Struthio camelus: one gene and its partner. The protein of the gene in region 1 interacts with the protein of each later gene in a pairwise test. Links are inferred from orthologs where the notes say so. Each region holds a gene or a part of one and is shown in the gene's direction. Other genes may lie near its edges.

Region 1 (3,746 bases):
ATAGCTGTGAAAGTAAATGGTAAGATTGTGTGAGATCACTGCAACAGTTAGTTGATTTTCCCAAAACAGGCTGGGAAGTCAAATGATAAATTGCCCTATTTTAAGAAGCAATTCATCAAATACATCCTAAATTCTATTAATACCTGGAGGAAATACGTACTCTTGTTCGAAAAGGCAGCTTCGTGGTCTTGCCGCATCTTGGACAGTGCGTTAGCTAGCACTGCGTACACAGGATGAGTAGGGTCACTTCATGGGGCTGAGCTGTTAGCAGGGTTGTGACCTGCACTGCAGTGGTTTTACCTTGGCTAACAGGAGAATCCTGGCTACATCAGGATTCATTCAGTTTAGAGTGAATGTTAACTACATTTTATGGCTTAGGGTAAAAATATTTCAACTTGCTTCTAACTCTTAGGATGAAAGTCTGAATTAATGCTGTAATCCTCTTCGTTGCTATATTGAGATGATCAGATTCTTCTTTATATTTAAACGAGATTATTTCTCTTCCCAAAATTTATTGCATTTTTATTTGCTATCAAAATCAGATGTGTGGCTTTTGAGGAAGTTTCTGTTACTGAATGTGTTGACCAGGTTTAGTTGAAATCATCACTTTTATGGCTATGTATATCATTCAGAATAATTCAGATATTTTAAAAAGAAGACAAATTAACTGATTTAGGCTTTAAGCTCTGTATGCATGATTTATTGGCTAATTAAAAATATGAATTATGCCTTACCTCACAGGATTACTCCCAGCAATGAGGCCAGTCTTTTAAACTGATCTATCCAGTTCAGGTATTAATTCTTGATTAGAGCTTTCCTTCCCAATCCTCACAGATTTCCAATTCTTGACAAGATTTAACAGCTAGCCTGTACAATGTGATCATTTCATCTGTTTCTTTGCATTAAAAAGTACTTGTAATTTCACTAAAATAAATAGGTCCAGCCATCATTAATGGAAGTGGAAGAGTATTCCTGATGATCCCAGTTTACCCTTATTCTGCAACTATTTGCTCATTTCAAGTAGGAACTGCTCTTAAAGTAGCAGAGTGCTTAATAATTCGAGCTGGGGGCAGGGGGGAGACTGGGTTTGGGAAAGAGAATGCAGCGTTCCAGCAAAAATCCTGCAAAAAGTTATCTAGGAGATGAGTCTGTATAGTAGGAATGGTGGGTTTGGGTGGGTTTTTTTTTTTTTTTTTTTTTTGCCCTCAGACTGAACAGACACGAATTTCAATGCAGTATTTGATGTGTCTCTTCGCTAGCACGTGACGGCTCGCGGTCATGCCCGTTTCGCAGCTGGAAGGCGGCACCGGCAGCCCAGCGGCGCGGGGGAGCCGCCGCCGCCGGGCCGGTGCGCGGGGCGGCGCCCTCGGCCACGGCGCCGCGCAGGCCGAGCGGCTCGGCGGCCGCGGCCCGACCCCGCCCTGCAGCGCCGAAGGCGCAGACGCAGCGAGGGCGGCAGGAGCCGGCCGTGCCGCGGCGGGGCGGCGGGCCCCCCCTCCCCATCCCCTCGCCGCGGCTCCCGCCCAACAGGCAGGAGCCCGCCGGGCCCCAGCAGCCTCCGCTGCCGGCTCCCCGTCAAGAGCCAGAAACGGCGCTGGCGGGCGGAGAGCAGCAGTCTGCGTTCAGAGCCACCGCGCTCTCCCCCCGCACGCAACCGGCCGGCCGCCGGCGCCATGGCGGCGGCGCCCCGGGCCGCCTCCGGCCTCCGCCCCCCGCGCCCGCGGGCCCCCGCCGCCCCCCAGCAGGTACCGCGGGGCCGCGCCGGGAGCGGGAGGCCGCGGGCGGCGGCGGCGCTGGGCAGCAGCAAGGCTGCTGTTGCGGGGGGGGGCAGGCGGGTGGGACGGGTTTTCTCTGTAAGCGGGCGGCGGGCAGGGGCTGCCGAAGGAGGCGGCGGCCGAGCTGTGGGAGCCGCTGCGGAGCCCGAGCTGCGCCGGCAGCGGGGAGCGCCGCCGCCCCGGGGCCTGGCTGCGACGTTGCTGCTGCTGCTCTCGGGGTAAAAATAGCCTGGGAAGCTCCCGTTTTTGAAGACCTTACCAGTGACGTGGCGGAAGAGCAGACGCAGGGGACGAGATCTGCCTGATTTAGCACGCGGAACAGATGGCCGTGCTGCGCTGCCGGGGCCGGCGCAGAGCTCTTAATGAGCTCGTCGGGCCGAAGGGATCCAAGAGCGGATTGAAGAAGCGGGGTGCCTGCCTTGAGGGAAAAGACGGGGTCTTTCCGTGGATGAAGAACTGAAATGAGAGAGGCATACACAGTGTCAAAAGAAACAGCTTCAGGAAGATTCAGCTGGTGCCTTTCATCGGGCATGCTTTAACAGCTTTTTAAATTCATTTATTTGATCATGGCATTCGCTTTATGTTTGATCGCTGCGTTACGGAGAAAACAAGTTTGAGATTTTTGGACCGAAAACATGACAAAACATAAACAAGGCTTTTTTGGTTGGCATGTAAAAGCCTATTAAAATACCTGTGTGGAACAGTATTATCCTAATTGTTTAGATGAAGAAATTAACCCTGTAACTTCTTAAAACATAGTGCCCAAAAAATGACTTAAAAGAAGCCTTTTTTAATAATACTTACTTCTCTGACTTGTTCAAGCTTTATGTTTAAAGAACGTGCTTACCTGCCCCAAAGTGCAAGCTGGCGGAAACACTATTTAAAGTGAAAGTTATGCAAAATACTTCCCATTTCCACAATTCACTGTGAAATAATAATAGAAACATTTATGCAAAAGATACCACATGACTTATTATGAGAATACTTATGAAAATGAGAGGCAGAGAAGTTTGTTTAAAAAATGTGGGTTTTTTAAGCTGCATGTTTCACCATGGGAAAAAATTCACCAAGGAAAAATTACAGTGCTAAACAAGTTATACTTTTAATAACTCCTTTTGATCTTATTTCCTGATATAATATCCTGATTACAGGGATAGACTGTTAAGAATTTAACATGCTTTAGATAGAACCCTTAGTATATAAATTATTATACAATAAGGCTATTCCATATAATGTTGCATTCAAATCTGTACATATGTATCTCTGATGTTACTGTACCATTCATTGGACTTAATCAGATAAAGTGATATTATGAACCTCGGTCCCCTTTCTTCTAACACTCACAAAACTTGACAAAAATCTCTTCCAGGATGGTTTTGATTTGGATTCAAATACTGACAAAGAGCAGACCTCTGTAAATGGGAACTGTGACAAGTGGATGGACTTTTCCAAAATGTGCAATTCAAATCAAGAATATTACTTGAAGCTAGAAGAACTGAAGAACGCCCACCTGGAGACCATGGCGAAATTAGAAAGTATGTATCGGAATAAACTACACCTAAAAGGAGCACAATCTTTGGACAAAAAAGATGCTGCTCCTAATATATGTTATAGGTAAGTTTAATAATAATCTTCAGTTTGGTGGTGCCTTCTGTCTGAAGGTTCTAAAGTGCTTTGCAGACATCAGTAAGTATGGCAATTTTTTTCTGAAGCTGGAAAGTTACCATTTCCGATAAGTAGATAATCATAAAAAGCTAGCTTTAATATTTAAAAATGCTTACTCACCTTGCTAATGAACTATGAGATTTACAGGGGTGTGTGTGAAGCTGCGACTGGGCAGCATGTTTAGTAAAGCATGGTGCCTTTCCTTTAGAAATGCTGATTTATTCCTAATCTAAATTACTTTACAACTATGATTTGGAGTGAATGCCCCATGTTCTTCTCTTTTCCTTTGCCTTGCCTCTCTCCTCT
Region 2 (3,746 bases), on another chromosome or scaffold:
AAGTGTTCTTTAGATGTTATTAAAATTTACTAGAACATGCCACTGTTGGTTTCCTGTTGCCAGGTATCTAAACAACATTTTACTTCCATATTTGTTTTACTCGCACTGGTGAATTTTGTTGGGACTGTTTCTATGGATGTGCCCCCCAAAAAAGCTTGTGCTGCAAAGAATAAGCATAAAACAAGGCTTGACCTACAAGAGCACCATCAGAACAAACAGGGCATTTCGACCCAGAAGGAGATACTTAAGAACAATTAAAAAACAGTACAGAGTTGAAATGCTAACAGGACACAAACTCCCACTGAGAGAGCAGTATTTCCATCTAAATGCTCTGTACGCCGTTAAACTAAATAATCCAAGTCTCTCCCTAAACAGGGACCAAAGAAATGAACTAGTAATACTTTCACTGCTGGGTAAACATATGTAGTTTTGACACTCGCAGCTCGCTCTAGCGTCGTTTTCTCTATGAGGCAGCGTCAAAGGGAAAGCGCCACAGCAAACACATTTCAAAAACGGAACGAAGTTTTTCCACCCGGCATGAACGCGCCGCTGGAGGCTGACGCGGGCCCCCGGCAAGCACGCGGGTCACAGAGACTGCACTAAGTCCACGTTCAAAGAAAGGAAAGAAGCAACGGCCGCCTGTTAGAGACGATCACCGGGGGCCAGCAGGGCGGTCACAGCCAGCCAGCAGCCCCTTATCAGCCCAGGGGCTGCAGGGCGCGGGCCGCCGAGGCTCCCGCAGCGGGGAGGGAGGGGGGCAGGGCAGGGCAGGGCGGGGCGGGCACGCCGCCTCCCGCCGCCCCCCGGCCCCAGCGCTGCCGCGGACCCAGCTGCCGCGGCCCGGCCCGGCCCGCCCGGGCCCGAGGGGGCGCCTGCCCCACCGCCGGCCCGGGGCCGCCACCGCGACCCCGCGGGGCCGCCCAGCGCCGCCCGGCGGGGGAGGAGCCGCCGCCGCGCGAGGCTAAGCGCCGCCGCCGCCGCTTCTGCGCCTGAGGAGAGCGAAAGGCAGCGGCGGCGGCGCGGCGACGAGGCGGCCGCTGAGGGCTGGGGCAGGAAGGCGCCCGCTTACCCGCCGAGCCTCCAGCGACGATTTGGTGAGAGGCCTCCTGCAGAAAGCCGCCGCGCTTCCCAGCCATGCTCCTCTGGGCCCGGAGAGCGGCCCGCCGAGCAGAGCTGCGCTGGGCGGGGGGGAAGGGCCGGCCGGCCCGCCCGCCGCGGGGGCGGGAGCCGCAGACCGCGGTTATCTGCGCCGGGGCCGGGGCCGCGGCGCGGCTGGGGGAGGGCGGGGGCGCGCGCGGTTCAGGCCCCGCGCTGGCGGAGCCCGCGCTGCCGCGCAGCGGCCTTTGTAGCCCGTGGGCAGAGTGGGGCCTCGCAGCTGCGGCTGATCACGGCGGGCAAGGGGCACCGCGATCGGTTCCAGCCGGGAGAATCGCAGCCTCCCGCCCTGGGAGGCAGCCCCCGCTCGGGGAGAGCTGTGGCAGCAGGCCCTGGGAACCGCCTTGCTGGGGCAGGGAGGCAAAGCTTTGGCGGTCTGACAGAGAACTGATGGGGAAAGCCTGTGACCTCTTCAGACCCGTGCCGTTCAGCCCTTTTTTCTGGGCCTGTGCCATGCAGCACCCACTTCTTCTGTGGCACTCCTGCCCCCGCACCGTTGCCGAGACCCAGGTAACACCCCCGTGAATTCTCTGGTACTCCACTTCCAGGAAGCATTGGTGGTGCTGCTGGGCTCACCCGCTCTCTTTCTGAAGCATACTGTTCTTTTAAGACCTTTGGACTTTGTTACCAGTTCTTCAGTGTTTAAAGGACAAGGGTATTTCAAAACAGAATCACAGAATGGTTGAGGTTGGAAGAGACCTCTGGAGATCATCTAGTCCAACCCCCCTGCAGGGTCACCTAGAGCACGTTGCCCAGGACCATGTCCAGATGACTTTTGAATATCTCCAAGGATGGGCAAACTGTTCCAGTGCTCTGTCACCCTCACAGTGAAGAATTCTTTCCTCAGGTTCAGATGGAACTTCCTGTGGTTCAGTTTGTGCCCGTTGCCTCTTGTCCTGTCGCTGAGCACCACAGAGAAGAGTCTGGCCCCATCCTCTTGACACCCTCCCTTCAGATACTTTTGCACATTGACAGATCCCCCCTCAGTCTTCTCTTCTCCAGGCTGAACAGGCCCAGCTCTCAGCCTTTCCTCACAGGATAGATGCTCCAGTCCCCTAATCATCTCCATAGCCCTCTGCCGGACTCTCTCCAGGAGTGCCATGTCTCTCTTGTACTGGGGAACCCAGCACTGGACACAGTACTCCAGGTGAGGCCTCACCAGGGCTGAGGAGAGGGGGGAGGATCACCTCCCTCGACCTGCTGGCAACACTCTGCCTAATGCACCCCAGGAGACCATTGGCCTTCTTGGCCACAAGGGCACATTACTGACTCATGGTCAACTTGTTGTCTACCAGGACTTCATGAAAAAACTTTTCTGAAAACATTTTATCCAGTCGTGGCTTTCAAGTACTAAGTCACCTGCAATTTGTTCTCAAAACAGGAAAATGTGTTTGGAAAGGCTTGACAAATGATTCTCAGAAAAAAAGAAGGCCTGCCAGGAGGGATGAGAACACTGTCGTTTCAAAACTTTATGCACAAACCCCACTTGTAGCCTCTTGAAGGATTTTTCTTTCTCAAAATGCTCATCTAAAAATCACTGCTTTTGTCTGTAGAAAATAAGGTTCTTTGCCAGTGAATGAGCTGGACAGTTAAATGAGATTAATTTTGTTTGAATAGGTTTTCATTGTTTTGCTTAATTTCCTTCCAGCTTCTCTCTCTCAGCCTAACAGTGACCTCTTTATTTCTTTCCATCCAATCTGGAGAGCTGTGATTTGAGAACGCTCTCTTAAACAACAATATCTGAAACAAATTTTCTTTGGCTGCACTGCATTCCACCTTTATGAAAAAAAGAATGCATTTTAATCACAATCAACTTCAGGAATGTGTAGCTTCCCTTTAATAGTAGTTTTTGAGTACTTCCACTTTCTTCACAATGGATTTTTTGTCAATTTTTTCCCTTTTATTGGAGGAAGAGCAGTGGTATTATTAGAATAAATGCAGATTGATCTTGTACCTTAAAGGCACCTTTCCAGGAAGGGTGGATGAGGAAAAACAGTAGGTATTTTCTTTAACTCTGCTATACTACATCTACTCCTATAGTCAGGATCATAAAATGCTGATTTTAGCAAAATGCCCATGGTTTCACTATGCCTAGGATTTTACCTTAAAGTCACTGCCTCCAAGAACATCTCCAAATGGACACCTGGAAGCCCTGCTCTTACTAAACTATCATGGAGCAGACTGCAGATAAATACCTATCAGACACGAAAAAGAGCACATAAGCATAGTATTTGGGCATAAAAAACAGATCTAACTGTGATTCCATAAGGAAAGAACTTTGTACTAACATCTGTCTTTAGTAACTGTTTTGCAAGAATACATAGGTTCACCTAGTTACAAATTATCTATGCTGTTACATATCTATGCTATTACATGAGTTTAGCATAAACTAATGTCTTGGTTGCGTGGACAAAGCAGTCTTTTTTCAGAATAGATGAGGTTCAGGAAAGAGGAGTTAAAAAATAAGGATGGCAAAATCACCTTTGTTTTCCTTCCCTTTTGAAAAGCTGCCAGCAAATCTAGCCTCCTAGCTCTATTTCAAGATGCCCAAAATCACACCCAGTATTCAGCCTCACTTTGAAGATTATATG

Evidence for each region.
Region 2: the proteins of FAM161A (region 1) and MIPOL1 interact in binary tests that used the Homo sapiens proteins (3 or more experiments, as listed by UniProt). The two-hybrid records come from large-scale screens. The link is inferred for Struthio camelus from reciprocal best matches to the Homo sapiens genes FAM161A and MIPOL1.

The regions. Positions count from the first base shown.
Region 1 is NC_090944.1:131,151,632-131,155,377, forward strand, and holds the start of FAM161A (protein FAM161A), read left to right. Parts: upstream 1-1,467; 5' UTR 1,468-1,673; coding exon 1,674-1,745; intron 1,746-3,144; coding exon 3,145-3,389; intron 3,390-3,746. UniProt on the Homo sapiens protein: Involved in ciliogenesis.
Region 2 is NC_090946.1:56,351,876-56,355,621, forward strand, and holds the start of MIPOL1 (mirror-image polydactyly gene 1 protein), read left to right. Parts: upstream 1-925; 5' UTR 926-1,069; coding exon of another isoform or gene 1,070-1,136; exon of another isoform or gene 1,137-1,258; intron 1,259-3,746. Other genes in the region: SLC25A21 (mitochondrial 2-oxodicarboxylate carrier), read right to left, coding at 1,070-1,136.